Linked DNA regions of Arabidopsis thaliana. The protein of the gene in region 3 interacts with the protein of the main gene of each other region in a pairwise test. Each region holds a gene or a part of one and is shown on either strand. Other genes may lie near its edges.

Region 1 (8,890 bases), on a different chromosome or scaffold from region 3:
GAGATGCTTTGACATAAGCTTTTTCATTGAGACCAAATGTAATCTTATGGACAGCAATTCCTGATAAAGGTTGGTCTTCATGAGATTTCACTTGGTGAATTGCTCCAAGAACTGATATAACAGTCACCAAGATTGCAACTAACGATTCTCTCATGTCTTCTAAGACTGAAACAATTCGAGCGGGCACAAGAAAGATGCAAAAAGACTAGCAATTGGATTAAAAGAAACAGAGTGAGGACATTATAACTAACTTGGTTTTGCTTTGAATCTTTCGGAGAAACTCAAAGATTGAAACTTTGAAGAAGATTAGATTAATAAGAAGAGTCTTTAATAATTAGAATATCCAGTCTTGAGATTCCCCCTCAATGATATAAAAAAGTCAAGACTTTGCTCGTCAACGGCCAATTTACATTGCACTGGAGTAGAAGAATTCACATCAAGTTTTGATTAGCGGAATTTTAAATTGCTTAAATTTAGTGAACTCGAGATTTTTTAATGTCTGAATGAGAAAAAGATTACTCAAGAATTTAACATAAACAAGATTAATACATTGGATCCATATGACATTCATGTAAAAATCCTTCTTCTAAGGCGTGCTATACATGATCTCTAATCCAAAGTGTCAATGCTTTTGGGATATCATATGGGCCATCCAATGAGAGAAGAATAATAAGTCCTTTGTTGTTGTTAGGCCGTTTTGCATGAAATCCGAGTAAAGAGAGATAAATCAAGTCACTAAAAGTATAACGCCTGCGGTTATTGAAATATATTTATTTATTTTAAGCATTCATCATATATGCATGCATATACAAAGGAGTTTTCTTTAAGATGCCAATTTGCAATAGCCTTGCTTTGAACATTTCATGTTGCAATCAGTATCTACTTGGCAACGAACATCATTATTCATCACTTTAACCAAATTACAAACACAGTCGCATTGGTTGCTGCAATAACCTCCCTCTGGGCAATGCGCTTTACAATCACTATCATTCTTACAACATGGAGGTGGTGGTCCACGATAACCACCACTACCACCACCTGGACAACCGGTGCATCTTGGTTCATTCGGCATACATGAGTTTTGGTTGACAGAAGTTTCACTGTTTTGAATGCTAATTCCATTTTCTGCATATATTAATAAGAGATAAGAAACAAAAAAAAACATATTAATCAATGAAAAACTATGTAAATAAAAAATACTAAAAGCACAAAATGAAACTTTAAATATTTTTTGTTTACTTACGGGTTACGGCAAAAAGTAGAGAAACCAATAACAACAATTTTAAGGAAGCGATCTTCATTTTCAAAGTCGATGTTTTTTTCCTTCACTGGAGAAGTTTTTGGTTGTTTGGTAAATCTTGCAATGGTGAAGTTGAAGGTATTCTTCATCGATTTTTTTATTTTTATAGTCCAGTTTAGGCGATGGTTAGATACTATTTTTTTTAATATTTACACGTGGAAATTGAAGTATAATTGTTATTGGATTCTTTTGACTAACAACAAAGTTCTCATAAACATGGAAATCTAATTAAAGTTTTAATTAATACTAGATATGTTTACCAAATAAGAGTTGCAAAATTGGAAATAAAGGATTTTTTTCGATTTAAATGTCTATCTATATATTTCTTATCAGATTTAGTGGACTATGCTTTATATTAGATGATGATTGACCCACGCAAATTTTCTAAAATCATTAGTCCAAATGCTTATGTCTAAATAAGTATTGGATCAAAGAAAAATCAAAGATGATTTTATGCTTAAAAAAAAAACATAATTTAGTGACCAAAATACTATTGAATAGGAACAAAATCGAGATCTATCATTACATGTTGCTACAGGCACGGTGCCCTCTTTATAACTTTAAAACATTTTGAAAACAACAAAAGATTACACAGATTCAGAAACGAAATTAATTTGATCCATTATTTAAAACCTCTAAAACCTTGATCCATTTTAAGTAATAGACATCGACCCACTTAACCACTGAACCGTCTTATTGAGTAATTTAACCGGAAAATTTTACTGAACCAGAACCTTCCAATTGAAGAAGAGGCTTTAGTGAATCATCTTCGTCATCGATCATCAGATTCTTCAGATTCGCAAGTAAAAACTAAGAATCGACCAATCGTTTATTACACGAATACTTACTTATAAAGACAATATTAAATAAACCAGATATTTTTATTCCAATTAACCGTCCAAAATAAAAATAGATAGCCGTTTTATTTTAATTTCTCCCTATCCTACAAAGTGAAAGTCGCCAGTATCTCTTTGTACTCCCTCGCTATCTCGAAAGAGTCGTGGATGACTGCGTCGCTGCTTCTCCTGTACTCGAACTGAATGGTAGAGTGATCGACGACAATTAAGGTGACGAACCCAAAGTCCTTGTCGCCGAGCAGGCTCCAGCTGGACTGCATGCAAGAGAAATCATCTAGACTGGCTCCTCCACCTCCCGCAACAACATGAATAGTCCCGTTTAATGGCTCCTGCAAGGATGGTTGGATGGCGTGATCCCGAATACATACATACAGTTTTTCTCAAATAGTTGTGGCCAAAATCCAAATATGTACCATGTGTTTTCTCTGTTATGAACCTAGGTGATATTTGAGCACTAGCTACGATAATATTAGAACTAATTTGATAAGAAAATGGAATGTTTTTTTCTTAAATTTTTCTTAAGTTTTGCTTAAGTTTTGCTCAAGTTTTTCTTAAGTTAGAAAGAACTTTTGGGTTCGTCATTTCTTTTCTGAGAGGGAATTAAAAAGTCAAATTTGTTCTTGCTTTTTAGCTGCTGTTCAAATTCAGAATCTTGTCTTCTTCTCTCTCAATTTGTTCCATAGATCTAATCAGTTGAAATAATGAATCTGAATACTATATATATATATATATATATTCTAATATAATACAATGATGTTTGCATATACTTTTAAAAGACCCTGACAAGAAGAGAAACTAGTAACACATCAAACTTTAAAGAATTTGTAAAGAAATTTAAGACTCATTGCAGAGAAGAGAAGCACAAAACCTCGTAGTAAACCTTGATGAGGAAAAGACCTTGATAGGCGTAGAACACAGTAGAGGTGGATCGACATATTTAACTCTTGTAAGACAAATCGAAGCACTGTAGAAACAAAGAAAAAGGTGCAATGTAAAGCTTTTATCATATAAAATAACACAAAGCTTTACATCAAATCCGAGAACTGTTGGAGAAGCTTTGACATAAGCTTCTTCATTCACATCAAACAGTGTCCTATGAATTGCAACTCCTGACAAAGGTTGCTTTCGATGAGATTTTCCCTCTTGAATTGACACAAGAGTCACCAAAACATCAACAAGTTTCCCATTTCTCACAAGAAGATCATGAAAACAAATGTCTGAAGATGAAGATGAATGTGATACAACTGTGTTCTAGAGATAACTTGTAGGAAACAACATTTATAAAGTTGGTGACTGATGATCAAAACCTAGAAACATAGGCACAAAGCATATAAAGATATGGTGATCATTAGCATTAACATTCCTTTCACACACTTCCGTGACTTGTTGGTTTAAGTGTTTCTAAATCTAGAAATCCAATTGGGAGCCAAAAGAAGACTATGATGTGGACATGTGACCTGCGTTTGCCAAAAACGTACCTTTTACTAACCCAAAGTCCAATCACATTTGGGTCATTGGACTATTCAATTGCAATTGAAACCCAACACAAAGTCCAAAACACTCATAAAGTCTAAACATTTGAATAAGTGATTCTTTTCACTCGTAAGAAGCCAAAATTCGCCATGAGAGAAGAACAAGTCTCTGATTGCGGATCGATTACTCTTGAAGAATGGAATGGTTCTTCTTCCACTAAGCTATTCAAAACAGCAACCATCACTGCCTCCTCTTCTCTCTCTATCCAAAGGTTCTTCTTTATTCCTCTTTGAAATCAATCCAAATCTGATAGTTTCAGTGGATTCACAACAAAATTGAGAAACTTTCTTGGGTTTTCGTCTCCTGTGAGTGATTCATAGGTCTGCTAATCGCTTTAATCATGTGTGGAGACGAGTTCTTCAAGCATTTGTACCAGAGGCAAGTGTTTTCTCTCTTTTTCCCTTTAGAATCTGTCCTCCGGATTAGGGTTTGGCTGAATTGTACTTTGTCTAGTGCAGGGCTTTCCTGGCAGTGTAACTCCAGATTATGTAGGGTTTCAGTTATGGGACACATTACAGGTATGTGAGAATATGCTTGTATGCCTTATAGCTACTGTGAAATTTGAATTGTGACTCTCGGCTATGTTTGTTGCAGGGCCTCTCAACTTATACAAAGATGATGCTTTCCACTCAGGTGAGCTAAAGCTAAAGTTTTTGAGCTTCTGAGTTCTCTATTTTGGTCCAATTTGTCTGCTGCAGCATTTCTGATTTGGACTATTTTCAGGCTCTTTTGAGTGCAATTGGCGTTGGTGAGAAATCCGCAACTGTTATAGGTGCTACATTTCAGGTGAGTTTTTCCATTGCTTACATATAACATTTCACACTAGTTCTCTCAAGAACTATAAAGCGCAATGGAGAATAGTGATTCTATCTTGTGTATTATGCAGTGGTTTCTGAGGGATTTTACTGGGATGCTTGGAGGTATATTGTTCACATTTTATCAGGTGCCTATGTAGCAGATTCTTCCCAATCATAATACACATCGATTCTCTTCCCTTTTCTTTAAGATTTAGATTGGTTACGTTCTTATTTAATGGGAACTGTTCTGTTCTTCAGGGTTCCAACCTGGATAGCAATGCAAAAATGTGGCGCCTAGTTGCTGACCTTATGAATGATATTGGTATGTAAAAGTTAGTTGTCACATCACACTTGATACTAATTGCCTGTATTTGGTTCTCAGTTGAATGACTACAAGCTTTGTTGCTTTTATTGCAGGAATGCTAATGGACCTTCTTTCTCCTTTGTTTCCATCTGCCTTTATCGTTGTGGTTTGCTTAGGGAGCCTATCAAGATCATTTAGTGCGTATCATTTCTTGCATCAAACATTGAAGTTAAGACTTCGGTTTGGATTGATACATCGGTTTTTAACTTTTTTCAATCTTGGCTATTAGCTGGTGTTGCAAGTGGAGCAACCAGAGCAGCTCTAACACAGCACTTTGCTCTTCAAGACAATGCAGCGGATATATCTGCTAAGGTACTCTTTACTTCTTGTCACTGTGAATGATATAGAAACTATAAATGTGAACTTTGAGTAATTCTTTGCTTCTATTTTATCTATTGAAAGGAAGGAAGCCAAGAGACTATGGCAACTATGATGGGTATGTCATTGGGAATGTTGCTAGCTCGGTTTACCTCTGGAAACCCTATGGCTATTTGGCTTTCGTTTCTCTCTCTCACCGTGTTTCATATGTATGGTAAGTCACAAATGAAGGTTAAAGCATAGATCAAATCAGAATTTCTCTCACTGTTTGCCTTTCTTATATATTTAGCAAACTATAGAGCTGTCCGGTGTCTTGTATTGAATTCATTAAACTTTGAGAGGAGTTCAATTCTTCTAACACATTTCATTCAAACTGGCCAAGGTAATTTCGAAATGCGCCATTGATTCTTTCAAGTTTTCAGTGGCTTTCCTTTGTTTTTTATTGGTTTCTCTTTATTATTGCACCATATACCAATAACTTTCTTTAACTAAACGTGTTGCCAGTTCTCTCTCCCGAACAGGTTTCTTCAATGGAGGGTGTATTGCCCTTGTGGGCCACTTCATTGAGGTCAACGAATTCAAAGCCATTGCATAAGAGAGTGCAGTTAGGTGTGAGAGTTTCCTCTCTCCCTCGTCTAGATATGTAAGCTCTATACTAGATTATCATAATTTTCGGGTAAAGAATCGGCTCAAGCTTGACATATTTGTGTGCAGGTTGCAGCTGCTAAATGGTGTTGGAGCTTCTTCATACAAGAATGGTTTGATTGATTTATTTTTCCACAATCTTTCAAGGACATTAGTTTCTCTGTCCATACTTGACGTAAGCTCGGTTCTTGTCTGTTGTTGTACACTCCTGCAGCTAAGTATTTATTGGCTCACATAAAGGGAAATGTTAGTGTGATCTTGCACAAAGATTCAAAACCTGCAGATGTGTTGAAATCATATATTCATGCCATTGTTTTGGCAAACCTTATGGAAAAGAGCACATCTTTTTATTCAGAAGGAGAAGCTTGGATTGATAAACACTATGACGAATTGCTCCACAAGGTAAGATTAAATCACTAGGACCAGTTAAACCGTGTTTTTATGACACTAAAGCTACTGTTTTCACTCTTTTTCTTTCTGTTGTTTCCCATGTAGCTGAGATCAGGAGGTTGGAAAACAGAGCGTCTTCTTTCGCCTTCCATTACTTGGAGAGCTAATTGGATATCTCACACTTCCGCTGCTAAGTTCGACTGAGCTTTATCGCCTTTCAAGATCAAAATAGTTTGTTAACTCGTTGCAAACATACAAAAATATGTTAGTTCTAAGTCATGTAAAACATGTAACCGATACCGGTTTAACCGTAAAATGTCGGTTTAACATTGTATAACGTTTGTTATTAATGGAAAATTAAAGAATTATAATAATGGCAACCGTTTTATTTTTTTGGAAACGCAAAAATTGGAATCGGAACCGCTTCGAACGTATAAATACTTCAATTTTGTGATTCTCTTTCATTATCACTTCATGTTCATCGTTTAGCTCGTAGCTGAAGCTAATTCCACAACTCCGGCCAATAATTCCGCCGGCGAATGGAATCCACGGTGAGTATTTCGTTTATAGTCAGACACTTGTACCCTAGTTTTTGGAATTCGATTAATTTATTGTTTGTTAATGCTATTAGGTCATGCCTGGGTTTGATAGAATTAGCGAATTGCCGGAATCTTTGATTAGTCAAATACTGTTACACCTTCCGACTAAAGCTTCTGTGAAGACGAGTGTTTTATCGACTAGATGGAAGAATCTATGGCTTAATGTTCCCGGACTTGATTTGAACTGCCGTGATTTCCCCTTTCAGAACAACAACGAAAAACTGTTGATTGATTTCATTGACAGATTTCTCCAGTTTAACAATGAGTCACGTCTTCAAAAATTCAAGGTAGATTACAGTAGAGATAAGATCATTAAGTTCTCGGATCGGATTGGTGACGCGATTAGCCGCGGGATTCGAGTTTTAGATGTTGAGAGCAATACCTATTATCGAGATGCTGATGATTGCATTGACTATCCTTGTATCGAGTTCATGCCTCTGAATCTTTATTCGTGTAAGACATTGGTTTCTTTGAAGCTTTCGTATTCGGGTCTTGAGGATCCAGGGTTTGTCTATTTGCCTTGTCTCAAATTCATGCATCTTCGAGAAGTTCGATGGGATAGTAGTGGTACTATGAATCTGGAGAAGCTTGTTTCAGGTTGTCCTGTTCTTGAAGAACTGATTTATCTTCATGATGATAAATTGGTGGTTACGCGTGTGAGATCTCGAAGCTTGAAGAGGTTTTCTATTCCGTTTAGGCATAAACTTTCTTTGTTTAGGAGAGTGACACAGACATTTGAGATTGATGCTCCTGGACTAGAGTATATGAGTCTTAAAGCAGACCATTTCGATAGAATCGTGGTAAAGAACCTTACTTCTTTATTCATGATTGACCTTGATATCAAATTCATTGTCGGGTTTGGCTGGATGTTTGATCCGGAGGACTTACCAAAGAGAAATGAAATCCGTGATTTTCTCACCGGGATATCTAGTGTAAGACATATGGTCATCTCTCATAATACAGTGAAGGTATATATTTTTGTACAACAAATTTTGGTCTTTTTCTACTTGGGAAACTCTCACTAGCATCCATTTTTTCCTTTCCTTCTTGTTGCAGGCCCTTGATCTTTACTCAAAAGTAGGACTGATTCCCAAATTCAATAACTTATCCCGTGTAGAGGCTGCGTTCCCGAGCTCCTTGTTACAGTTTTTGCCAGCCTTTCTTGAGAGCTTCCCGAATCTGAAACACTTAATCTTGGTAAAAAAACTTAAATGATTTTGGCGTAACAACATTGTGGCTCTTGTGGATGTTTATAATTGAATACCTAGCTTTACTTTTGTTGGTGTTTTCAGGAAACTGAATGTCCAGTGGAGGTGATGGAGAAGTTTGAACTCGTAAATGTGCCTCGGTGTTTCGTATCGACTCTTGAACATGTTGAGATAAAAGGATTGTTTGACTGGGGGGAACAGGATATGAAAATAGCGAGTTACTTTCTCGAAAACTCAGCAGTCCTCAAGAAACTGATTCTGAGTTTCATGGGTTGTCCTCAACATTATTCGGAATCAGATATCTACGAGGAACTTAATAAACTCACAAAACGTTCTCCGAGATGTCAAATTATCATTAGATGCTGAATGAGGCCATGAGTATCATGTGTAGAAAGTCTGTTTTCTCATGAAACACTGATTTTTTAAAGATCATTTTGTTCTTCTTCTTAGTTTTGGTTGGATTCCTTGACCATAAAACTCGGTCATAGAACGAAAACATTGTTGTTTTTTTAATTTTTTCTTAATCTCAATCTCAGTTTCTTATGATCTATTGGATTCTCTGAAGAAAGTGATATTATTACACTGGACACTGGTAGTAGGAACATTGGACTAAAGGATCTACTCTCATCTGAAACTCTTTGCGCTTCCTCCTAGTATATTGAAAATTTCGGTTAACTCGGTAATGAAAAATCCAAACCAATCAAAGCTACTGTATAAACAAAATTTCAATTGAATTCCGGTTAAATTAATAATTTTGATTGGTTTAATTCGGTTTAAAATGAATTGAAGACGCCAATCGATCGTCGTCATCTTCACTCTTTCTTTCCAGTCACGGTTTACGCGTCTCTCTATCTCCCACCTGCGATTCTTCTCCATTAT
Region 2 (6,126 bases), 7.0 Mb from region 3:
CTCCATTACAAGAGTAAAACACATCACTAAAAACAGAAAGAACTGCAAATACAAACGCATTATAAGAGAATAATGCAAAAAACAAGGGGATAAACCGGAGGTGAAGGAAGCTTAAAACAAGCAGAATTCTCCCTAGCTCAACGGTGACTTCGAGTAACTTGAAAGATTTTACACTGAACTGGGAGTCCATGAACAATTGCAAAACCAAAGAGTCTTCATTCCACGCCAACAAGAGGGCGTTATTCAATGATAAGGCAGTCTTCGCTACAATATCTTCTGCTACCAACGTGTAGGTGCTAGAACGATAAGCGACAGAAATGTCTCGCAAGGGAACTTCAAGGGTTTTAGAAGATAGCATGTCCAAACAAGATGCAACAGCAAATCCACAAACACCAAAGAAGCTTTCATTCCCTGCAAATAAAGATTTCCCAACAACAGGGGAACTTGATAGAACATAGATCTCCATAAAGGAGTAACAATGGCAAACAAAGCACAACCACAAACAAAGCATACAATTAGTATCCTTGTGAAGACCAAAAGCAATTGTGAACAAGCGAGAATCACAATTCCAACTCCATGAGTTAGCTGAACATTTACCCATCTCAACTTTAGAGAACCTACAAATCATATAGACATGAAAGAAGGAACTAAAGGAGGCATAGGAGCCATAGGAAAACCTAATAGCTTCAGGAAAAAGGCTGCATACTGCAGTAATAGGTCGCACTATGGCGATAGAAGTGTCACCGGAAGACACACGGATCTAGAAGGTTTATCATAGAAAACACTTGCATATAATTTATAATAAGCCTCAATGACGAGGGAAAGGAGATGGAGGATCCAACAAACAAGGAATACCATGAGGGAGACGATGGAAAATCGCTACAACAACGAGGAGGAGGCTCTGGAGGTACCGGATCTGGAGGCACCGGAGGCTTGGGAGGATCCAGCGATACCCGAAAGAACAGCATCCGGAGGTGAGCGGTGTTCACAGTCCAAACGGAGGAGCTCGACGACGGGAGAGTTGAGAACGAAGCAACCATCAGAGCTGAATTACTAGCCAAAGACTACTCGCAGGCGACAACGGGTTCCGACGAACGACGAGGATCTGACCCGAGAAGGAAGAGCAGAGCGGCTTCAGAAGGAAGAGGATAATTGAGCGGCGGAGCAGCGGCGGCGGAGGTCCATCTTGTCTTGGAGCATGGAGGGGCGGCTTCCTCGGAGATCGTGCCCGGGAGAGAAGACCTAGGGCGAACTCTCTTTGGTTAATATTTAAGATCGCCTCGTTCTTATTGTTTTGCGACTTTGTCAATGACTAGAGAAGCGCAACAACTTTGTATATTTGCTGCTCAGAGCTCTGAGGTATGGATAGCGAATAAGATGGAGAGTACGAAGCCATTTCATAGAGCAAGTTCCTGACAGTGTCGAAATTTGATGACCGCTATCATTTAGGGTTATGTTTTGGGTTGAGTTTCTTAGTCGACATAGAGAACAAAGTTGTAGTGTCTTGTAATCACCCCGGGTTCTCCAACAACGTTTTACAAATTGTGGGAAAGGATAAATACCTACCTGAGGATCAACATGGTGCCGAATCTCCTACCCCTCCACGTCTCCTCATTTATGTTCTAGGTTTGGTTCAAATCCAGCAAGGTAGCTAGTTCTTGGAGGTGGTGGTTTGTGCATTTTTTTATTTAAAATGTCAAAATAATATCTAAGTTAGGATGCCTCTCTCTTGATAAACAAGCATAGCTATAGGCCACAGCCACTACACACGACACAAGTCAACTCGAGCCAAGAACAACTCTACCCATGAACAGCTCTCCCTCAAACCTAAGACTTGGCGTTAAAGCAACATATTAGTCGCAAGAACGCCATGCCGAACAGGGCCGAAGTCATACAAGTGATGATAATAATTTAGACCGGGAGAAGTAAGAAAGAATCAAAGAAGACACACATTAGCTTCTATGAATTCTGAATGTTCATCATAACTATATTCTTCCAAATCTCATAACGCAAAAGACTAAAATTAACAACAACTTGGAACTTGTAAGATAATTTACACCGAATCCAAAACTACCAGTAAGTTTGGTGTTGCTCAGATTTCAGAAACCATCAGTTTTTCTTTCACCAGACACAATTAGCTCCAAGTATTTGCAAGATATGAAAGACACAAACCAATCTTTATATCCTCTCATCAAATACATATGAGACTTAAAACTCCTAAAATCCTAATCATCACAACAAAGTAACCTTTTTTTTTTGGTAAGCACAACAAAGTAACCTTAAGATCAGAATATGAAGACCACTGAGAACACGAAATCCCCGATTTATTTCATAGATAATTTGGTACTTATGGTAATTGTATCAAAACGATCAGATCCAAACACGAAATCAGAAAACACACAACACAAAGATCCTCACACACAATAGTTACATAACATAGTGCAATCTCAGAAGAGAGACCTAAGAGACAACACGGCCAACGACAGGATACTTAGCTTCAAATTTGGTCTCCCAATCATTAAGAGTATTGATCTCTTTCTCAGTGAGACCTTCAAGAGAAGGAGACACATCTTCTTCGTTCTTACTCATCTTACCCAAAGCTCTGCTCGCGTCTTTTCCGGCGAACATCGAGTAATCGCCTCCGGAGCCGTAGAAGGATTTTCCGGTGGTGACATCGAACACACGGCCTTTGATTGCGACGTAGATCGGCTTTGATTCGTCGGTGCCGTTGTATTGGCTTAGCTGCTCTGCGGTGAATTCCATCTTTTTCTTTAAAGCTCTGATCAATTGTTTCTGGAAAGAACCAAATAAAAGATAGTGAGAGATATATAACAGAGGATTTTTTTAAAAAAATTATAACTGAATAACTTTTTTTTAATAAGTGGAACAACTTTTTTTGTGTCGGTAATAAGTGGAGTAAACTTTATTCTTCAGATTTTTACAAGGAATATCAAAAAATATTTTATTTTTCTCTAATTAAAGTCGATAAAAATTCCAGAAATGCTTAATCTTTCAAGGAGCTTAATTTAAGCTGCTTAAACAACTTCGTCGGGTTTAAAGGACGGCTTTGGGAAAAGACAATTTAATTTGAACTAATTCCTAAGATAGAACACATTTGTATGTTTATTCCTACAGTAGAACACATCTTTTTTTTATTACTCAGATGTTTTCAGTTATTGTGTAATTACAATTAACACCCCTAATTAGTTTTAATTAATTATTATTATTTAATTCGTTTTTAACTAAAAATTAAATGAAAAAACAGTGATTATACATGTCATTATTCCATGTCATTACCATAATCCACGTCATTAATTATCTCCAAACTCCATAACGTTTGGGTTTCTTATTTCTTAGCTTTACTGTTCATCATCTCCCAAAAAAAAAAAAAACTGTCGCTTTCTTCCACTTTCTCTCTCGACGGAACGAAATCGATTTCTTTCGCCGTTTTGCTCTTTTCTCGTCTGTTCCGGCCGAAATTCAGACGCCGGAGTCGCATTTACGTAAGCGCGAAGTCACATTCGACATCTAAGTTCCGGTGAGTATCTTTCAATGAAGTAAGACTCTGACATCTAAGTTCAATCTCAAGTGATTCCCGTCACTGAAATCGTTTTCCGATGCGTAACGATGGTTTTTAAAGCTGGGTTTTAACGTCGACGTTGATTGACATATGGTGGCCGATTTCTTAGATCTATTTGATTTGACGGCTGAGTTACTGTTTGTTTGCCGACTGATTTATGATTTATCAATTCATCCGTGTCTGAGTTTTTTTTATGCTGTGACTGAGTTATGGTTTAACCTTACATCGATGTCTGAGTTTCTGTTATATGACGGCTGAGTTTGTTTATGTTATGGCTGAGTTTCTGTTTTGATATAGCTGAGTCTGGTTTATGTTTTAACTGAGCTGTTGTTATGTTATGGTTTGACTGAGTTTCTGTTAAAATATGGCTGAGTTAGATTTATCTTATGGCTGAGTTATGTTATGTGTGGCTGAGATAGGTTTATGTTATGACTGAGTTATGTTATCTATGGCTGAGATAGGTTTATGTTATGACTGAGTTATGTTATCTATGGCTGAGTTAGATTTATGTTTTGCCTGAGTTATGGTATCTGTGGATGAGTTTGTTTTATGTTATGACTGAGTTATGGAATGCTTACGGCTGATTTATGGTTATACAGATGTCTGAAGACCAAGCAAGGGAGTACCCTCCAAGACTTTACCAAGAGGGGGATTCTAATCTGGAGGGTAAAGGCATTAATCATAATATAAAGCTGGGAGAGTTCCCTGCAATTAGAGAATCAATAGGAGAAGAAATATGGGCAGAACTGAAAGAGACAGAGCTTGGATTAATTGCTAAGCTTGTTGATAGTCATTTTCTCTGGTCTGGTAAGACCGTACATTATCTACTATGCAGACAGCTGAGAATACTGAAGAAGGAGCTTTGGTGTATCGTGGCTGGTAAACCCATCCGGTTTGGATTGAACGAATTTCATCATATCACTGGTTTAAATATAGATGATCTGCCTACAGAAAAGTTTGAGCCTGAAGCTGACTACAAAGCGTTCTTCAGTGAATTGCGTGTGCCAACCGGTGAAGGTCCTAATCTAGATGAACTTAGGCAGGGCTTAGTAACGTGCAGAGCTTGGCCTACTGAAAAACGTAGATGGTTTGGGTTATTGACTCTTCTATCCATTGGACTTTTTGGCTTGCATACTAACTCTAGGATACCATTTGAGAGTGCCAAAAGAGTTTTCGACGACGAAGCCATGAAGACTTATCCATGGGGTCGGGCAGCATATGAAGCCCTTGTCGTTTCTATAAAGTTGCTGAGGCCTATTGGCAAGACGTACACTGTCAGTGGTCTGGTTTTCGTGTTGCAGGCTTGGGCGTATGAGTCAATCATCACCATCGCTGAGCGTTTTGGGAACGCTGTTAACGCGGATGAGATTCCGTTGCTTAGATGGGGTGGCAGCCGTACCCGTTCAACTATAGAATCGGTCATTGCTGAAGATATCAAAGCGAATGGTGGTGAGGTACGGTTTCGGCTCTGTTATGTTCTGTTTTTTATCAAATATTTATGTTACGGCTGAGTTAATGTTTTATTTTTCTCTGTGAAGGCTGAGTTATATTCTTTTTTTTTGGCAAATATGTTATGTGACGACTGAATTATGTTCTATAATGGCTGAGTTATATTAAGTGACGACTGAGTTATATTAAGTGATGGCTGAGTTAAACATACTGATGGGTTTTATTATCTCTCCTGTTGTAGCTGCGTGTTCGTACAATGGTTGAAAAGGCTGAGTTAAGCGAGCTGTTTCATTTTTGGCCAGACCAATTAGAAGACCCAGCACTTGATAACTTGATCCAAGACTTACACGAGGTTAAGCTTGTTAAAGGTTATTGGGATGTGAAGACGAGTGAGAAGAAGAAGAAACTCTTAAAAGATAAAGAAGCGGAGGTGTCTGAATCTCCCGCTAAGAAACAGAAGGTCTCTCACGGTGAGCATGTTGATTCTCTTGAGAAAGATGCAGAAAAGAAGAAGAAGGAGAAGAAGAAGAAGAAGGAAGTAGCTGTCGAATCTGATGAGGACGAGGATGTTCGTTCTCGTGAGCAGGATGGTCAGGGAGACCAGCAGTCGCTCGTGGATGTGGTGTCCAACTTGATCTCTCCCTTAAACTCTCGATTTGACACCGTTGATACTAGCATAAAAGAAATGTCCTCCCGTCTGGATGTGATTGGATGTCAAATCGAATCGAGTGTTGAAGCAAAGTTTGAAGGAAGGTTTGGATCGATTGAGAACGACGTCAAACAGATTAAAGAGCAGCTGAAGGCCATAGCTGATTCAAAATCAAGCAGCTATATTAGAGATATGTTTTTATCCAAACCACAGCCCCAAACGCAGGAAGACAATCGTAAGGCCCAAACTCAAAAGACACCAGACGTTCCAAAGAAAATTACAAATAACCAATCTGCTGCTCCTAGTCCTCCTCCGGTAAACTTTTAGTTAGTTATGATCGAGTTAATATCTGATTATTATTCGGCTGCGTTTTAAATTTTAGTTAGTTATGGCTGAGTTATCAATATTATACGGCTGAGTTATCTGAATATTTTACGGCTGAGTTATA
Region 3 (7,398 bases):
GACACCCTCCCCTCAATAGAAGATGAAACGCGGCGTTTCATAAATAAAAACGAGAAAATCAAAATCGTCGCTCTCTGTTTGCTGGCGTAACTTAGCCTTGTTCTTCTTCTTCATCGCGATATCTCCGGTGTCTTCTTCGTCTCCATCAGAAGAAGAAGCTCTCTGTATCCATCCATATCGAAAAAGTATGAACTTTATCCGAATTTCTTCTCAATTTTATGGATTTATTAGTCAGACTCATGTTAGGGTTTTGTTCGATTTCATGAATTTAGGGTTGAAATTTTGCTTGTTTGTATAGACTCTAATGGAACTGATGGTTTGTTTTAGGATTGGGTTGATCTAAAAAAATGCTTTTTTGCTTTGTTGTTGTCGTGAATTCTGCTCAATACCTTCCATTAAGTAATCAGTTTTGGTTTGTGATGAATAGCCAGAGATCGGAGGAAGGAGAGAGAGATACCAATCTCTGTTGCTTTGGTTTTAAGGTAATGTGTTTGTTTCCTTCCTCATGAGAATCGGAATATTAAGGTATTTTGTGGTTAAGATTTTAGTTGATTTTTGAGAATGGTTTTGGTCAGGGTTTAGAGGAGATGTCAAACCACCCGAAGATCACATCGGCGCATCAGAATGTGGAGGAGAAGCTAAGGGAACTTCAGGAGAGGTTCTGTCATCTTCAAGCTGCTAGGAAAGAAGGGCGGCATGGTGACCTTGCGCTTTTAGAAGCCCAAATCTCTCAGAATATTCGGGAGTGGCAAGCTGAACTCACTGCTCCTTCTCCTGAATCTTCTCTGTTGGTTCGTCCTACTCCATTACCATACTTCTCTATGGTTTATGGTTCCAATTCTTTGAAAAATAGTGAATCTGTAAGCTTGGTTGAGATTTAGCTCTTTTGGTCTTTAACATGTTGCAGGGTGAAGGTATTAGCCAATTCCTTGAGGAGTTTGCTCCTCTGTTGAAATTAGACGAGGAGGATGATGCAACTAGTACGCTAAAAGAACATGCTGGAGCAAAGCCTGATCCTGAGGGTTTTTCTCAAAGCTTGTGCCCTCCTGAATGGACATCTGAGAATTTTAGTCAAAGTCCTTTCAACGGAAATTTCTCCTGCGGCTTTGAGGTGAGCTAGATACAGTTTCTGCGTCAAAATTGTCTTCTATAATCTTTTGATTGTTGGTTAGATGTTCCTAGACATTTGAACACCGTTGATTCTTTATTCCAGTTCAGCTATGAGTTTTGATCTTTTTCATTCTTGTCTTAGTTTTGATTTTGTTTCCTTATGTACAAGTTCACCTTTTCTATCTCAGGATGCTCTTAATAGCACAGAAACACATGGCCAGCAACTCCATTATGGATATGAAGGGTTTGATCCAAGCATAAACTCCGCTCCTGATTTCCATGACCAAAAACTCAGCAGCAACTTGGATATAACTTCTCAGTATGATTATATTTTCTCCGAAGTGCGTCAGGAACTAGATAACAGCCCTTCCACTAAGCTTGATTCTTCTGAAGAGATTGACAACTTTGCTGAATTTTCTACTCCATCAAGTGTCCGTGTGCCTCCATCTGCTTTTCTGGGACCTAAGTGTGCACTATGGGATTGCACAAGGCCTGCTCAGGGCTCCGAGTGGTACCTGGATTACTGCAGTAACTACCATGGGACTCTAGCTCTGAATGAAGATTCGCCTGGCACAGCACCTGTATTGAGGCCAGGGGGCATCAGTTTGAAAGATAATCTATTGATTGATGCTCTTCGTGCAAAGACTCAGGGTAAGAATGTTGGGATCCCAGTGTGTGAAGGAGCTGTTAACACAAAATGCCCATGGAACGCAGCAGGTGAGAGCATTGTCCCACTAGAGCCCAGTTTTGCTTCTCTCTTTGTTTTAGTTCAACATTTCGTTGCCTCTTTGAAAACAGAAGCCTTATGTGAGTTTCTTACTTTTGCCTGACCCTTAATTTTTTGTACTTGCAGAGCTATTTCATCTTGAACTGGTTGAAGGCGAAACAATTAGAGAGTGGCTCTTCTTTGACAAACCTAGAAGAGCATATGATAGCGGAAACCGAAAGCAAAGATCACTTCCAGATTACAGTGGAAGAGGTTGGCATGAATCAAGAAAACAACTGATGAAGGAACAAGAAGGCCAGAAGAGATCTTACTATATGGATCCACAACCTCCAGGTCCCTTTGAGTGGCATCTCTTTGAATACCAAATCAATGAATCTGACGCATGTGCGTTATATCGCCTAGAACTTAAAGTAGGAAATGGAAAGAAGAGTCCTAAGGGAAAGATTTCAAAAGACCCTCTGGCTGATCTGCAGAAGAAGATGGGACAGTTTAAAGTGGCTTCAGACAAACCCTCTCCTCCAACCAAAGGTCGTAAGGAGTGAAGTTAGCTATTGGTAATCTAACTCAAGACTCCTGCAACAATAGCTCCAAGTTGTCTCCAGCATTCTACAAAAGAGCCATCGCCACCTCTGTTTTCTTTTTTTTTTTCTTTCTGACTGTATTATGAAGAGATAGGATCTTTGATGTGTTGTGTTAATATGGACAAGTCTGGTCTTTGCCCTTTTTCTTGATAGAATCGTAGATGGGTTTGTAAATTTTTGCATTTTATTTTTCTCCTTTAAAACCACAAGGATTTTGTTAACGAAGTGGTGTATTCATATTTCAAAGGTACATTTGCAACACCATTGATTCTTTATTCCAATTCTTATCTACGTGTGTGTGTGAATGAAACTTGAAACCAATACAAGTCACTAATGCTCTCAGATTATGTAATTGGGCTTTACTGGGCCGTTTATAAAATTGGGCTAGAAAAAGGGAGACAGCAGACGACAAGAGCATCCTTGTTCTCTTTAAACCCTAAATTACAAGCAAATCACCAACAGAGAGAGTAATGGCGAAAAATTCTGGTAGCTCGTTTGAAGCAGAGAAATCAGAGGGAAAGTGTGTTACGACGACTACTGAAGCACAAGTAATTCAAAATTCTGGCTGATGAATTATGTATTTGATTTTACGTATTTGTAATTCACTAATTCTCACTGATTCATACAATTTGTGTCGTAAATGAACAGCAAAGTAGTCAACCTGTTTTGAGCAAGGAAGAGGAGAAAGTGAGAGATAGCTACTTGTTCTGCTGTGAAAATTTCTACACTCTTCCTGAGATGATCAATTTCATGAAGGAGATTCATGGTGTAGAACAAACCACTGTGACAAAGGTTTTCAGGGAACTTTTAAAAGGTAGAAAAGCTGAAGCATATCTCAGAGAATCTCAGAAAAGAATGAAGGCAAGAACAACAACAACAACTTGAACAGAGGAGGATGAGGCTTAGGTTGCTCTAATTTGAAATTCTTTGGTTTGGTTTACTGGTTAGTAAGAAATAGACTTGTATTGTCACATTTTTTTATCATATTTTGAGGTCCATTGCTTTGGGTGTATGGACCAGACTAGGACAAATGAATAGGAGATGCAAAAGGGTAATAATGGAGAAGTCAGTCTTGTTGGTCTATTCTTGTCCGAGTCCATGATTTTTAGAGGGAGAACTAGAAGGAGGAACTAAAAGTTGTTTAGGTTAATGGTTTAGGTGCTAAGTGTTGGCTCTGTGTGTTACTTATGACTCGTGGGATCTAATGTCTTGTGAAAAATCACTTGTGAGATAAAATGGACATAGTCTAGAGAAGAAGGTATATAAGAAGAAAAGCAGTCAACTTAACTACAAAATCACAACGGCTCACAACTGTTTTATGTTGTAGAAGTTGGTTGCTTCTTAGAGTGGTTCATTCTTCATTACCAGCTAACCGCAAATAACCGTGACTTGAAGTCTTTCGAATTACACTTCTTTCACTCGTGGTTCAAACTTCTTCTGTTCAAGTTGTTATGCCTTCTCCAGCCATTACTTGATTTCAAAATGGTGTTGATGGTCTCATTCTTGAAGGCTTGGATGTTTCTCAACTTTTTGCTCTTGAACAAGAGCCAAGAGGTGATGGGACTCCGTAGTACAAACACAATTTAAGAACGTTTGAGTAAGAGTTTTGATTCACATTGAAAAAAAAACTTAGAAGAAAAAATGAACCAAACTAAAATAATCAAATTAATTTAGTTTATTAATCAAGAATTAAATCAAGTTTTAATAATAACCTGAATTGTAGATTTTTTTTCTTTTCTTAATAGTCGAATACTGAACACTGTAGTATTAAATGAAAACTCAAAGCCCAATATAATTCAAAGCCCATCGAATCAAATATCTGGCCACTCCACTTATTCTTAACTTGAAACTTAAAAGCCGAAATCGTAAAGAGAGAATCTGGTCGGAATAATCCACTCGAATCTTAAAACGACGTCGGTTTAACCAAATGCGAGTCAACGGATGCTGCTGCAATGCGTCGTGTTGTGTTCGTCACTCGCCGTCGTCGTCATCTCCGTCGCTTCGACCTCTCCCCTCGTTGGTGTTCACCCTTTAGGTTACTTCTTCGATGACTCTTATCTTTATTATATCGACAAATCTGAAAAATGTTCTTGTTCTCTGATTCTTACTTACTTCTTTGTTGTGAGGCAGATGAAAAGTATTTCGACTCAGATGTTATCAAATGCAAAGATGGCTCCAAATCTTTCACAAGAGATCGTCTCAACGACAACTTCTGCGATTGTCTCGACGGCACCGATGAGCCTGGTACACACTTTTTTCTCAATTTAGAATCCAGAGAGCTGAGATGACATGAGACTTTAAATTCTTTCCAGATAAAAAGATTTAGGACTAGAATTGATCGAATCTTATTCTCTTTCACAATTTCAATTATGAAAAATGTGTTCTTGTGAGTAAGTTTCTGAATTTCTGATTTTGCATTACAGGAACTTCGGCATGTCCAAATGGCAAATTTTACTGTAGGAACATTGGAAGTTCTCCAAAGTTCGTTTACTCTTCTCGTGTGAATGATCGAATCTGTGGTCAGTAGTTACTAATGTTCTGAATTCGACTAAATGATTCTCGTTTCAGCTGTCTCTTGCTGTATGCTAGTAATCTACATGTTTTTGTTGGATTGGATAAGCAGCATGACATTGTCTGTTTCTCAGATTGCTGCGATGGAAGCGACGAGTACGAAAGTAGCATTCATTGTCCCAACACTTGTATAATGGGTGGTAACGTTAACTACATCTACAAACCTAGAGCCAACCTTAAATCTATACACTTGCAACTCGGTTCAACGCCTCATCCAAAGGAGTTTTATACTATAGGAAATCTTCAGGACATGGTCAAGAATCTACAAGGTTTTGCAACTTTTCTTGGGAAGCTTATTTGTTTTGTTTGATTGTCTAGCAAACTGATACAAAAACAATTGTTGTTGTTGTTGTTTCCAGGTATGAAGCTTGTTTTCGCTCTTCAGATGGTTTTTATCGGTTTCTTAGTGATCTTATGGATGCTTAGGAGTCGTGCTCGGTCTAAGAGACGACGCTATCTGCTGAAGAATGTACCTCCCATTAATAGATCAGCTAACTAACTCCCTGGAACTTGTATTATACTTTTGTGAAGCTTTTACGTGGAACCTGAGTGTTAAAGCCACATATGTCAAGTGTCATTACTAGCTATACTTATTCAGTGTGAGATTGTTTGTTCCTAGTTACATAATTGTCTTGGTCTTCATGTTTATTAAGCCTTCAGATCCTCAGACCATAGTAGGTACCGATGAGTCTTATCACAAGTAAGATAGTCACATGATCTGCAGATTTTCTAGAAAATGGATGGATTCACAATTTGAATGATCTCATGGTGAATTATTCGACTGATATAAGGTTTTATGAAAATGAACTCTTGTTTGTTTCTCACAGACAAAATCAATATACAAAAAACATTACAAGCCATTGAAGAGAAGAGAGAAATTTACAGTTAAAAAATCCTGAAAAAATGATTTGTAAACTCAAGATTGGAAACATCCACAAGTTGCCTTTGGAACAATTCTAATGGCCCAGTATTTTAGCAGCCGTTTCTTCTTGCTTCTCCACGCTTACCTTCAATCATTGCACTTCTTTCTTCTGCTTCCTTGTGAGTCACTGAAACCTAATTCATCCTCTCTGCATACTCCTGCTTTCTTCTTCTCTAGTTCCTCCTGCAGTGAAACAAATTCACAAACACTTCACTTCTCATTGTTCTCAATCACATTGAAACAGTATCAGCTCTCTATTGCTAAGTTTATTTTACCTCCATTTTCTTGAGTTGCACTTCGACAGCTGCTTTCTTCACTTCTCAACGGAAAACTAGTCACATAGTTTAGTTTAAGGTCACCTCTAACGAGTGAAGCAGACCAAGATTTCGCCAGTGCAGATTCTGTAAGAATTTTCATTCTACTAAAACATAAACAGCAATATGCCAAGCCTTAACACAAAGAGTGTCACAGGTAAACACATACAGAGCAAATGCATGATTCTGTCATAAAGCTTCAAATTTAGCTGTAATATATTACCTCCATGGATGTGTATTGAATCGTAAATAGGCCGCTTCTCTCTCGAAACAAGAACTAGCAATGGTAGCCTGATGTCAACGTATGTTGTATGAATCAAGTCCCCAGTGCAACTTGAAGGTAAAAGAACTTCTTCACACTGTTAGGTCGAAAGGTGAAACTTAAAGCTTATGTACTAGACAAGGCGATGGAACTTCTTCACACTGTTAAGGACAGACTTAGAGGTAAAAGAAAAACTTGAGTAGCTCATGGAGTTTAGCTAGAGGTTGGTCGCTAAGATATTTGTAAACTGAAGATGCTAATGGTTATATTAGGGATGATGATCTTGAAGGAATTATTTGGAAATGACATAACAGATGATGTGTGATTTCCTCCTTTAAAACAAAATCGTTTGGTTTTGATAATCATGAAAATATTTCTATGAGATTACTGTCCGACACACATTTAGAGAAATAATTCACTGACTATATATTCCGTAAATACATGTACATATAACTTTCTCAAGTTTGATTTATAATTTTAACATTTCAACAAAACAAAAAAATATAGATTCCGTTAAATATTCCTATCGATCCGGAAAAGTAAAAAATTGGACAGACAAAATATCCAAAATTATACGATTTAAGAGAGAAAAAAAAAGTAGCAAGTGTCCTACATGTGGGTGTGGTCTGGGACAAAGCAAATATAGAGGGGAAAAAAAGAGTACAGAAAACAAATCACATGGACTCACACATCAACATTATACTCTTCACTCTCTCTCCACTCGTCCACTACCCTACTTTCTCCATGCATTGTTTAGCCCTCCTCATAGCAGTGATGGTAACAAGATAATCCATTACCATGGTGAAAGATATGTGATAAATAAGCTAAGTCGTCGGATTTGTTTTCCAATAAATTAAGTCATGTTTATCAACTCGACTTAATTCTATTATTCTATATATAGATGATACTGT
Region 4 (7,887 bases), on a different chromosome or scaffold from region 3:
TAATATTAGTGTAGTTATTTTACCTTGATTTTTTTAATTATTATTACGTTATGGTTCATATCTTATCATATGAAATTATGTATTTTCATTTTTGTATCTTTAGGTAAGTTCGTAACATTGACATTCAATATTTTCAAGTAATAGACTTTTGAGACGTTAAACATACCACAAAATTCAAAACAAATCCATTTGTCTCTTACGGCTATATGCAATAGTATAAAATCTAAAAAGTGTTACTAAAATAACTCTTTAATTTTTGCTTCTTTTTTTTTCATACGAAAACTCTTGATATCAAAATATCTTATATTCTTGTTGTGTGTATTCATGATAATGAACAAATTTTAGAATCTTGGATATAAAAATAATCAGATTATACATGAAAATATATAAAAATTGATATTTAGAGTCAAAAATGAATCTAACAATAAAAATGTAAGTACATAAGATGAGTCTAATTTTACTAAGTATAAAATAACAAACAAAAAATAAACATAAATTAGCGACAAAAATAATTAACATATTTTTATCTAAAGAATTTTCAAAACAAACCCACGCGTAGCGTGGGAATTCATCTAGTCATAAGTGAAAATAGAACATTTTGAGAAAAATAGCTTAGCTTACAGGATTTAACTTTTCAATTATTTTCATTTATTAATTTTAACTCAGTTAATATTAATTTGCATGATGTAAAATTAACTTACGAGATTACGCTATATATAGAAAATATATTTTCAACAATGTTTGGTTTCTAAATATTTTTGTGGATTTCTTTTTTCTATTAATTATTAGCCCTGGGCGTTTGGGTATTCGGGTCGGGTATTTCGGGTTAGGGTTTTCGGGTTTAGAAGTTTAGGACCCGTTCGGGTAGTTTAAGATTTCGGGTCGGGTTCGGGTTCGGATTCGAGTTTATTTATATATTGAAATATCAAATTTTGTGTGCAAATCTATTAAATTACTTCAAAATTTCAAAAATTCTCAAAACAACACCAGTAGTTTTGCTTGAATATATCTAAAAAGACACAAAAATAACTAAAATATCCAAAAAATCCTAATATTTTCTATATATAAGTGTAAATATAACTAATATATACTTATATTTGAAATATGTTTGGATACCTATTCGGGTTCGGGTTCGAGTTTTTCGGGTTTTGAAGTTTAGACCCGTTCAAGTATTTGAAAATTTTCGGTACACCCGCCTAAATAGGCGGGCCTTATCTAGTATCAACATAAACTTTAACTAAATAAGGAAGTTTGAGCTAAGTGTAACATTAGATAATTCAAATTAATGTTTGTGGTAGAAGAAAAAGACAATGTTAAAAAAAAAAAGGTATCTGCTACCTAGACTCGAACCCAAGCACGGATTGAAAGAGTGTGGGGACACAACCACTAACGCTAGCTTCAAATATATCAGTTGTATTCCAAGATAAACTTTATAAACCTTGTGTAGGGCACGTGCCCTACCTACCCACAACGTAGATCCGCCCCTGGTTGTCAAAAAGACTTCATAAGATCATTTTGACCACAAAAGTTCACAACTCTTGGCTCTGTACATTTGTACCTCAACCACCATCTCTCACTTTAGATTCCAGTAACTATACAGAGAGTGTCTCCTACTAATATACCGTGTTTCTATTCACTATCAATTGCAAAAAGTATTGAATATGAGAGACTTACTTCAACTTCTAGTCCTCTTCTACTACTTACTAAGTATTGTGTCAATGTTCTTGGAAGTTACTGTCCTTCCTCTCGAATCAGATTCGTGGGCTCACTTAGAACGTACCTAGGAAGCTCATATCTAGCACCTGCATTGAATAAGAGCAAGTCATTAAGGTAACAAAACAAGAAACGAGAGAAACGAATCAGAATTGTGTATTACAAACCTCTTTCATCCCAGCACAATGTTAGGTCACGGTTCTGAACAATCACGCCTGCACTGTCAACAATAGTTTGTGCTAGTTTCAAGTCAGCTTCAGCAGCAGCTCGAAGTGCTTCCCATATCTCTGGTTTTCAGTAAATTTCGCTCAGTTTCCAAATGTACATAGTGCGATGCAGCAGATTACAAGAAAGAGAGATATATATATACCTCTTTGACCACCATAGTGTGGAGAGGTGTCCCAAAATTCCTCACGCATGTTCGTAAGTTGTGCCCTTGTGATTGGCTCAGTATGTGCCCACGGTTTAGGTTTCATGATTTTCTTCCTTTTTGCTGTGTCAAACGTACAAAACTCATAAGAGAATGATACAATATAAACTACCACCAATTTTAAAACAGTTCTTTCAGTAACACCAATATTATAGCCATCTACTTCAGAAGATCATCACAGTTTCAATTTCATCAAGACAACAAATACAGTATAAGGCAGAACGAATCAGATTATATTGTCTATTGTTCACAGAACAATTTTTCTTGGTAAAAATGGAATGTTATAACATTAGTAAACGGCCATTTCATTTCAATCATACCATCGATAACAACTTTCTCTGATCCAACATTCTAATTCTGAGCAGTAGAAACAATGTTGAAGAGCATTCTAATTCTCTGCTGAACTAATTCTGAGCTTCAAAATTTGGAATCTTTAACGAATCACAAACATGTCAACACCACAATAAACTGATATTTCCTTCGAAATCACTCCAAGAATCATAACATTTGCAAGATTAGTTCATGTTAACACCTCAAAACTAGAACTATCACCAAGAATCAAAACATTACAACACAAGTATAAATCGTAGCCCAAATTCTGAGAACAAATTCAGCGAGACAAACGGAGTGCGGAATTAAAGGTTTAAGAGAGTATCGATTCCACTAACCTCCGCCTTCATTTCTGGCCTGAGAAGATCCGATACAACCCATTCTCGAACCGTTGAGAGTCGCGTTTGATTAGGTGAAAATTGGAAGTCGCTTCGAACAAGTAAAGTAAATGCCAGTACAAACTCGACCGTCGGGAACGAAACGGAGAAAGATAGCCGCCGATAAGAGTTTCACGGCGGGAGAATCGCCGGAGAAGTCTGCAAGAGTCGTCTTCAAGGTCAAATTCTGTTTTGACTGCCAAATTAGGCCATGAATGTTTTGTTGATTTTGGTGGGTTTTTGGATTTTGGATTGTGGCTTTTGGTTTTTTGTTTTTGATTTTATGAGTTTTTGATTTTGGTGGAGATTTTAGATTTTGCAAAATCTTAAATGGTAACTTTTCTAGTTTTTGATTTTTATATAATTATTATTTAGAAACGTTTTAAAATTATTTATTTAAAACTTTATTTTTATTTTTAAAAACAAAAAAAAAAGAGTTTACGATAGAATTTGTTGAAAATCCCAAAAAAGTGAATTTTGGATTTTAAGAACAAATGACTAGAATCTTTTAAATTTTGAATTCCCTATAATTTAGGAAATTAACTTTTTACAAAATCATGAATGGATGAAAAAGTGGATTTTGTAAAATCAAAAGCCAAAATCAACTTTAAAAACTAGTACCATTCAAGGCCTTAGTTTGTTAGAGAGAAGAAAGTGAAAACAGATCTCCCCGATTTTATTTATAGTCACTTTACTTGCCACGTCATATTATTCTGGATTAGTATATTATATCTGTTTGAATTAATCGTCAGCGTCTGTAGTCCAACGGTTAGGATAATTGCCTTCCAAGCAATAGACCCGGGTTCGACTCCCGGCAGACGCATTCTTTTTTATCATTTTAATCAGTTTAGAAAAACATAAAAGATAAAGACAAATGTGAATTGACGAATACGTCCTCGTCTTTATCGAAGCGAGCAAGGTAATAGATCAGAACGCGTTAACAGGGCAGTTTAGTAAATTTGGCCACACAAATGTTAGATTTCTTTGTGATAAAGACAGTACACAAGTCCTTTGTCTTTCTCGTTTGATATTTTCCAATTCCGCGTCTTTCTCTGTTGAAATCGAAAAAATTTTCAAAACAAAATCTAAGGAAAAAAGAGCAACAAGTTTCAAATCTCATTTGGGTTTTTCATTTTGAAAAGAAGGACCCATTTTTATCTCTCTCTTTGTTTTGTTTTCTCGAATCTGAAGGAGTAAAGTTAAAAGCTTTGAAGGAGAGAATCAATGGCGGGTTACAGAGCAGATGATGAATACGATTACCTATTCAAGGTTGTTCTGATAGGTGATTCAGGTGTGGGCAAATCCAATTTGCTTTCACGATTCACGAAGAACGAGTTTAGTCTCGAGTCAAAATCCACGATCGGGGTCGAGTTCGCGACTCGGAGTTTGAATGTTGATGATAAAGTCATCAAAGCTCAGATTTGGGATACTGCTGGTCAAGAAAGGTCTCATCTTTTTCAACCACATTGTTCATTTCTCGATCTGGTTTCTTATATTAGAACATTTTGATTGAAGTTTTGGGGTTTATGGTTTTGTTTGGTTGCCAAAGACAGTAAATTTTCAGCTTAGGTTAGATCTGTATCAATTGATTTAGATCCATTGGTATTGATCACTTTTATAAGAAGAGATCTGGATTAGTATGTGATTTTGACAACTTGGGTTTTGTGTAAGATAGGAGAATCCTATGATTATGATTATAAAGTTATCAGCTTTATCAAATTTCTTCTGTTGTTTTTGCTATTTTAGGTTTATGTGAGAGAGCTTGATTGGTTTCAGTAACTTCATTTCTACGATTCTTAGCTCTTCTTTCTCAGATTTCACCTAAGATTCTTCAATCATTATCGATTTCTTCTGTTGTTTTTGCTTAGTTTATTTATGTAAGAGAGCTTGATTGGTTTTAGTTGGATTCTTAAACTTTCATTTGAAGCTTTTACTTGGTCTTAATTTCAAAATTGAAAAGCTTCTTGCTTTGTATGATTTGCTATTCTCCATTTCTCTGATCAGTTTTGTAAAGCGTGCATAGTCTGAATTCGAAACTGTAAAGCTTCTTGCCTTTTTTGTGTTCCTGATGTTTCGGTTAACTTAATTCTCTGTTTCGTTGACTTTGTTTCAATAGGTACCGAGCCATCACTAGTGCGTATTACCGAGGAGCTGTTGGAGCGCTTCTTGTCTACGATGTAACCCGACACTCAACATTTGAAAACGTTGAGACTTGGCTGAAAGAACTCAGAAACCACACTGATCCAAACATTGTAGTCATGCTCGTGGGCAACAAATCTGACCTTCGCCATCTCGTGGCTGTTCAGACTGAAGATGCTAAGTCATTCGCCGAGAAAGAATCTCTCTACTTCATGGAAACCTCGGCTCTCGAAGCCACCAATGTTGAGAACGCTTTCGCCGAAGTCCTCACTCAGATTCACCACATTGTGAGCAAGAAGGCGATGGAAGCTGCGAGCGAATCCGCTAATGTTCCATCGAAAGGAGACAAGATCGATATCGGTAAAGATGTTTCAGCTGTGAAGAAAGGTGGATGCTGCTCGAACTAATCAGAGAGTAGAATTATTGTTAACAACCTAAGGATCGGTTTTTGTTAACGGTTCTATCGAATATGAAGATTGCTTTTAGGTTGAGTAATGCCCATTTGGTGTATTTCTGTTATTTATCTGATCTATCAATGTTATTGTTTGAAAATGCTATGTCAAATTTTCAGAACCCTAAATTATATTTATCTCAAACAATAGAATTGTTGAAAAGAAAAGATAAAAATAGTTTCTGCCTTTGATGATTTCAGTTTGGTTGAACATAATTTTCGGTTTGATTTCGTTTCACCGTATCGGTTCATTTTGGTTAAGTGGTACTAAAATCGATTTCTGTTAGGTTGGAATTTTGTTGTTTCGATTTTTTTGGTACAAAACCGAAGGATTACCAAAATATCCGGTTTAGTTTTGGTTTGTTTCGGTTAGCCTTTTTTAGCTCAATTTAGAGCTTGAAACTGAGCAATCGCCGGAGAAACTCTCACTCACAGTTATGGCTACGGCAATGGAAGAGCCAAGGAAGCTGAGAGGCCACAAATCAACTGCCACTTGTTGTATAGCTTCTCGTGACCGGCCTGGAATTGTTCTCACTTCCGGCGAGGTTTCTTAATCTCTAATTCAAACCTCTTTTTTCCGATGAATTTAGGTTTCGTTATTGTAGTTACTTCGCAAGATTCATAGTTTTCCGATCATACGATTATAGGATGGTTGCATTTGCTGGTTTGATTTGCGATGTAAAGATGTTCAATTCATCATCGATGTTGGAACAGAACCAGTTTCATCTCTTTGTTTCAAGACAGGTTTTGTCTCTTTGTGTTTTGTCTGTTTCTCTCTCTTTCAATTTCTTCTCTTTGTTGCAATTTGGTGATAACTTTTATTTGATTTTTCAGGTAATGAGAACATTCTCTATGCTTCTTGTGGAAACGAAATCAAGTCTTTCGATGTTCATACGGTAATTTAAAATGTTCAAACTTTGATTAACTAACTATAACCATATCCTTCACTTAGTTTTAAAGCTTCTCTCTTTATGCAATTTCATAGCTAAGTGCTACTTCTTGGAAGCCATTAGAGAGTTACAATTACAACAAAGATGAAGTTAACCAGGTAGAGATACTAAAAACTCGACTTTTCGAAAAAGTTATCATATTTACCTATGACATTGATGTTGACATCTTTTGATTTGTTAAAGGTAGTATGTAACGGAAGGTCGTCTTTTCTTGCTTCTGCAGATGATTCCGGCGATGTTAAGGTACACTCAATAGTTGTTCTTAATACTTAAAACTCTTAAAGATTACATAAACATGAATTTTGGTGGGACGGTTCTCGGTTTGATTAGTTTGCTTGTACACAGATCATCGACCTTGGTCAGAAATGCCTTTATAAAACCCTTAGAGCTGGTCACACAAGTGTATCCTTACTTCGTTTTTTTTACCCATTCTCGTCTATGAAACTCTACTAGCCTCGAAAAAATGTCTCAAATCAACACCTTAATGAGACATATAAGATATGTAGTTCTGTACAATTCATTCCATGGAGACCTTGGGAAGGTAACTAATATCTTATTGTGATTTGTTATTATATATACACATCTCTTCTAAAGTGTCTAATTTCTTTCAGTTATAACTGGTGGACTTGATTCAAAGCTTGTTTTATGGGATTTCTCAAAAGGTCGCTCGCAAAAGATTATAGACTTTGGTAAAGACTATGCCACTAATTCTGGTTTCTTTAGCCATATATATATGCAACAAATCTGATTTTGCAAGTCATTTCTGTAATCTTTCAGGATCTGATACAAATAATAACTCGGGACAATGCCTAAACCCTGCGTTTGTTCACTCAATAGCAATACCGGAAATGGACATGGTTGATAAGTTAGACAAGATATGTGCGGTTGCTAGAGGTGATGGAATTGTCAATTTGATCAATATCGAATCAGAACTTTCCCGAAAAGGAACATCATCAAAAGGAAGTAGCAGCAGCAGCAGCAACAATGTGGTCAAAAGGGTTTGTTTAGACTACTCTGTTGGTGGACACAATTCTGCTGTTTCTTGTGTAGCCTTTTCTCTGTTTCAGGAGAAAGGTAGATTCTTAATCTCTGGTGGTAATGATAAAACAGTCAAAATCTGGGATTGCTTTAAATGTCTTGATCCAAACAACAACAACAATAACAGTGATCTCCTCCATTTGAATATTAACCTAAGCAAGAAGGTAACTAAAAGCTCACATTGTTCTTTTTGCTCTTTTCTCTTTTGTCTGATTCTGAACATTTGTTGGTGTTTCTTAAACAGGTGAATTGGCTTTGCACGAATCAATCTGATTCTGAGAATCTTGTAGTGTGTGACACAACAAGAGTAGTTAAGGTTTACTCAATCTCTTAAATAGGCCTGATGGGTCCATAAAAATAGTCTAAAAGCTTCATCCTTTTTGACATTGTTATTAGTCTAAGAGATTCATTTTTATTTTTGACATTAGAATGGTTGCTTGATCTACAAGTTAGTTTATT

What was found.
Region 1: the proteins of AT2G42390 (region 3) and RUS3 interact in a protein complementation assay, tested with the Arabidopsis thaliana proteins (one large-scale study listed by BioGRID).
Region 2: the proteins of AT2G42390 (region 3) and MAPR2 interact in a protein complementation assay, tested with the Arabidopsis thaliana proteins (one large-scale study listed by BioGRID).
Region 4: the proteins of AT2G42390 (region 3) and RABA1c interact in a protein complementation assay, tested with the Arabidopsis thaliana proteins (one large-scale study listed by BioGRID).

Annotation. Positions count from the first base shown.
Region 1 is NC_003070.9:4,717,938-4,726,827, forward strand, and holds RUS3 (root UVB sensitive protein (Protein of unknown function, DUF647)), read left to right. Parts: upstream 1-3,636; 5' UTR 3,637-3,779; coding exon 3,780-3,901; exon of another isoform or gene 3,902-4,010; coding exon 4,011-4,068; intron 4,069-4,148; coding exon 4,149-4,208; intron 4,209-4,284; coding exon 4,285-4,323; intron 4,324-4,413; coding exon 4,414-4,476; intron 4,477-4,576; coding exon 4,577-4,633; intron 4,634-4,745; coding exon 4,746-4,809; intron 4,810-4,904; coding exon 4,905-4,988; intron 4,989-5,080; coding exon 5,081-5,163; intron 5,164-5,253; coding exon 5,254-5,383; intron 5,384-5,458; coding exon 5,459-5,551; intron 5,552-5,673; coding exon 5,674-5,812; intron 5,813-5,883; coding exon 5,884-5,927; coding exon of another isoform or gene 5,928-6,028; coding exon 6,029-6,216; intron 6,217-6,309; coding exon 6,310-6,408; 3' UTR 6,409-6,578; downstream 6,579-8,890. Other genes in the region: AT1G13750 (Purple acid phosphatases superfamily protein), read right to left, coding at 1-154; AT1G13755 (Defensin-like (DEFL) family protein), read right to left, coding at 824-1,125, 1,244-1,301; AT1G13760 (uncharacterized protein), read right to left, coding at 2,428-2,486, 3,026-3,164; AT1G13780 (F-box/RNI-like/FBD-like domains-containing protein), read left to right, coding at 6,744-6,755, 6,836-7,771, 7,860-8,000, 8,096-8,377.
Region 2 is NC_003071.7:10,606,084-10,612,209, reverse strand, and holds MAPR2 (membrane-associated progesterone binding protein 2), read right to left. Parts: upstream 2,794-6,126; 5' UTR 2,764-2,793; coding exon 2,461-2,763; 3' UTR 2,310-2,460; downstream 1-2,309. Other genes in the region: AT2G24945 (uncharacterized protein), read right to left, coding at 1-628.
Region 3 is NC_003071.7:17,649,471-17,656,868, reverse strand, and holds AT2G42390 (kinase C substrate, heavy chain-like protein), read left to right. Parts: upstream 1-4,225; 5' UTR 4,226-4,359; coding exon 4,360-4,453; intron 4,454-4,548; coding exon 4,549-4,662; intron 4,663-4,841; coding exon 4,842-4,937; intron 4,938-5,063; coding exon 5,064-5,258; intron 5,259-5,348; coding exon 5,349-5,488; 3' UTR 5,489-5,763; downstream 5,764-7,398. Other genes in the region: VOZ2 (vascular plant one zinc finger protein 2), read left to right, coding at 588-791, 908-1,111, 1,299-1,827, 1,964-2,379; AT2G42395 (uncharacterized protein), read left to right, coding at 2,889-2,966, 3,067-3,303.
Region 4 is NC_003076.8:18,555,244-18,563,130, forward strand, and holds RABA1c (RAB GTPase homolog A1C), read left to right. Parts: upstream 1-3,816; 5' UTR 3,817-4,074; coding exon 4,075-4,295; intron 4,296-4,966; coding exon 4,967-5,396; 3' UTR 5,397-5,702; downstream 5,703-7,887. Other genes in the region: AT5G45740 (Ubiquitin domain-containing protein), read right to left, coding at 1,732-1,802, 1,881-2,000, 2,084-2,206, 2,812-2,854; AT5G45760 (Transducin/WD40 repeat-like superfamily protein), read left to right, coding at 5,878-5,985, 6,088-6,184, 6,275-6,336, 6,426-6,488, 6,574-6,633, 6,736-6,792, 6,889-6,931, 7,002-7,079 and 2 more. UniProt on the Arabidopsis thaliana protein: Intracellular vesicle trafficking and protein transport.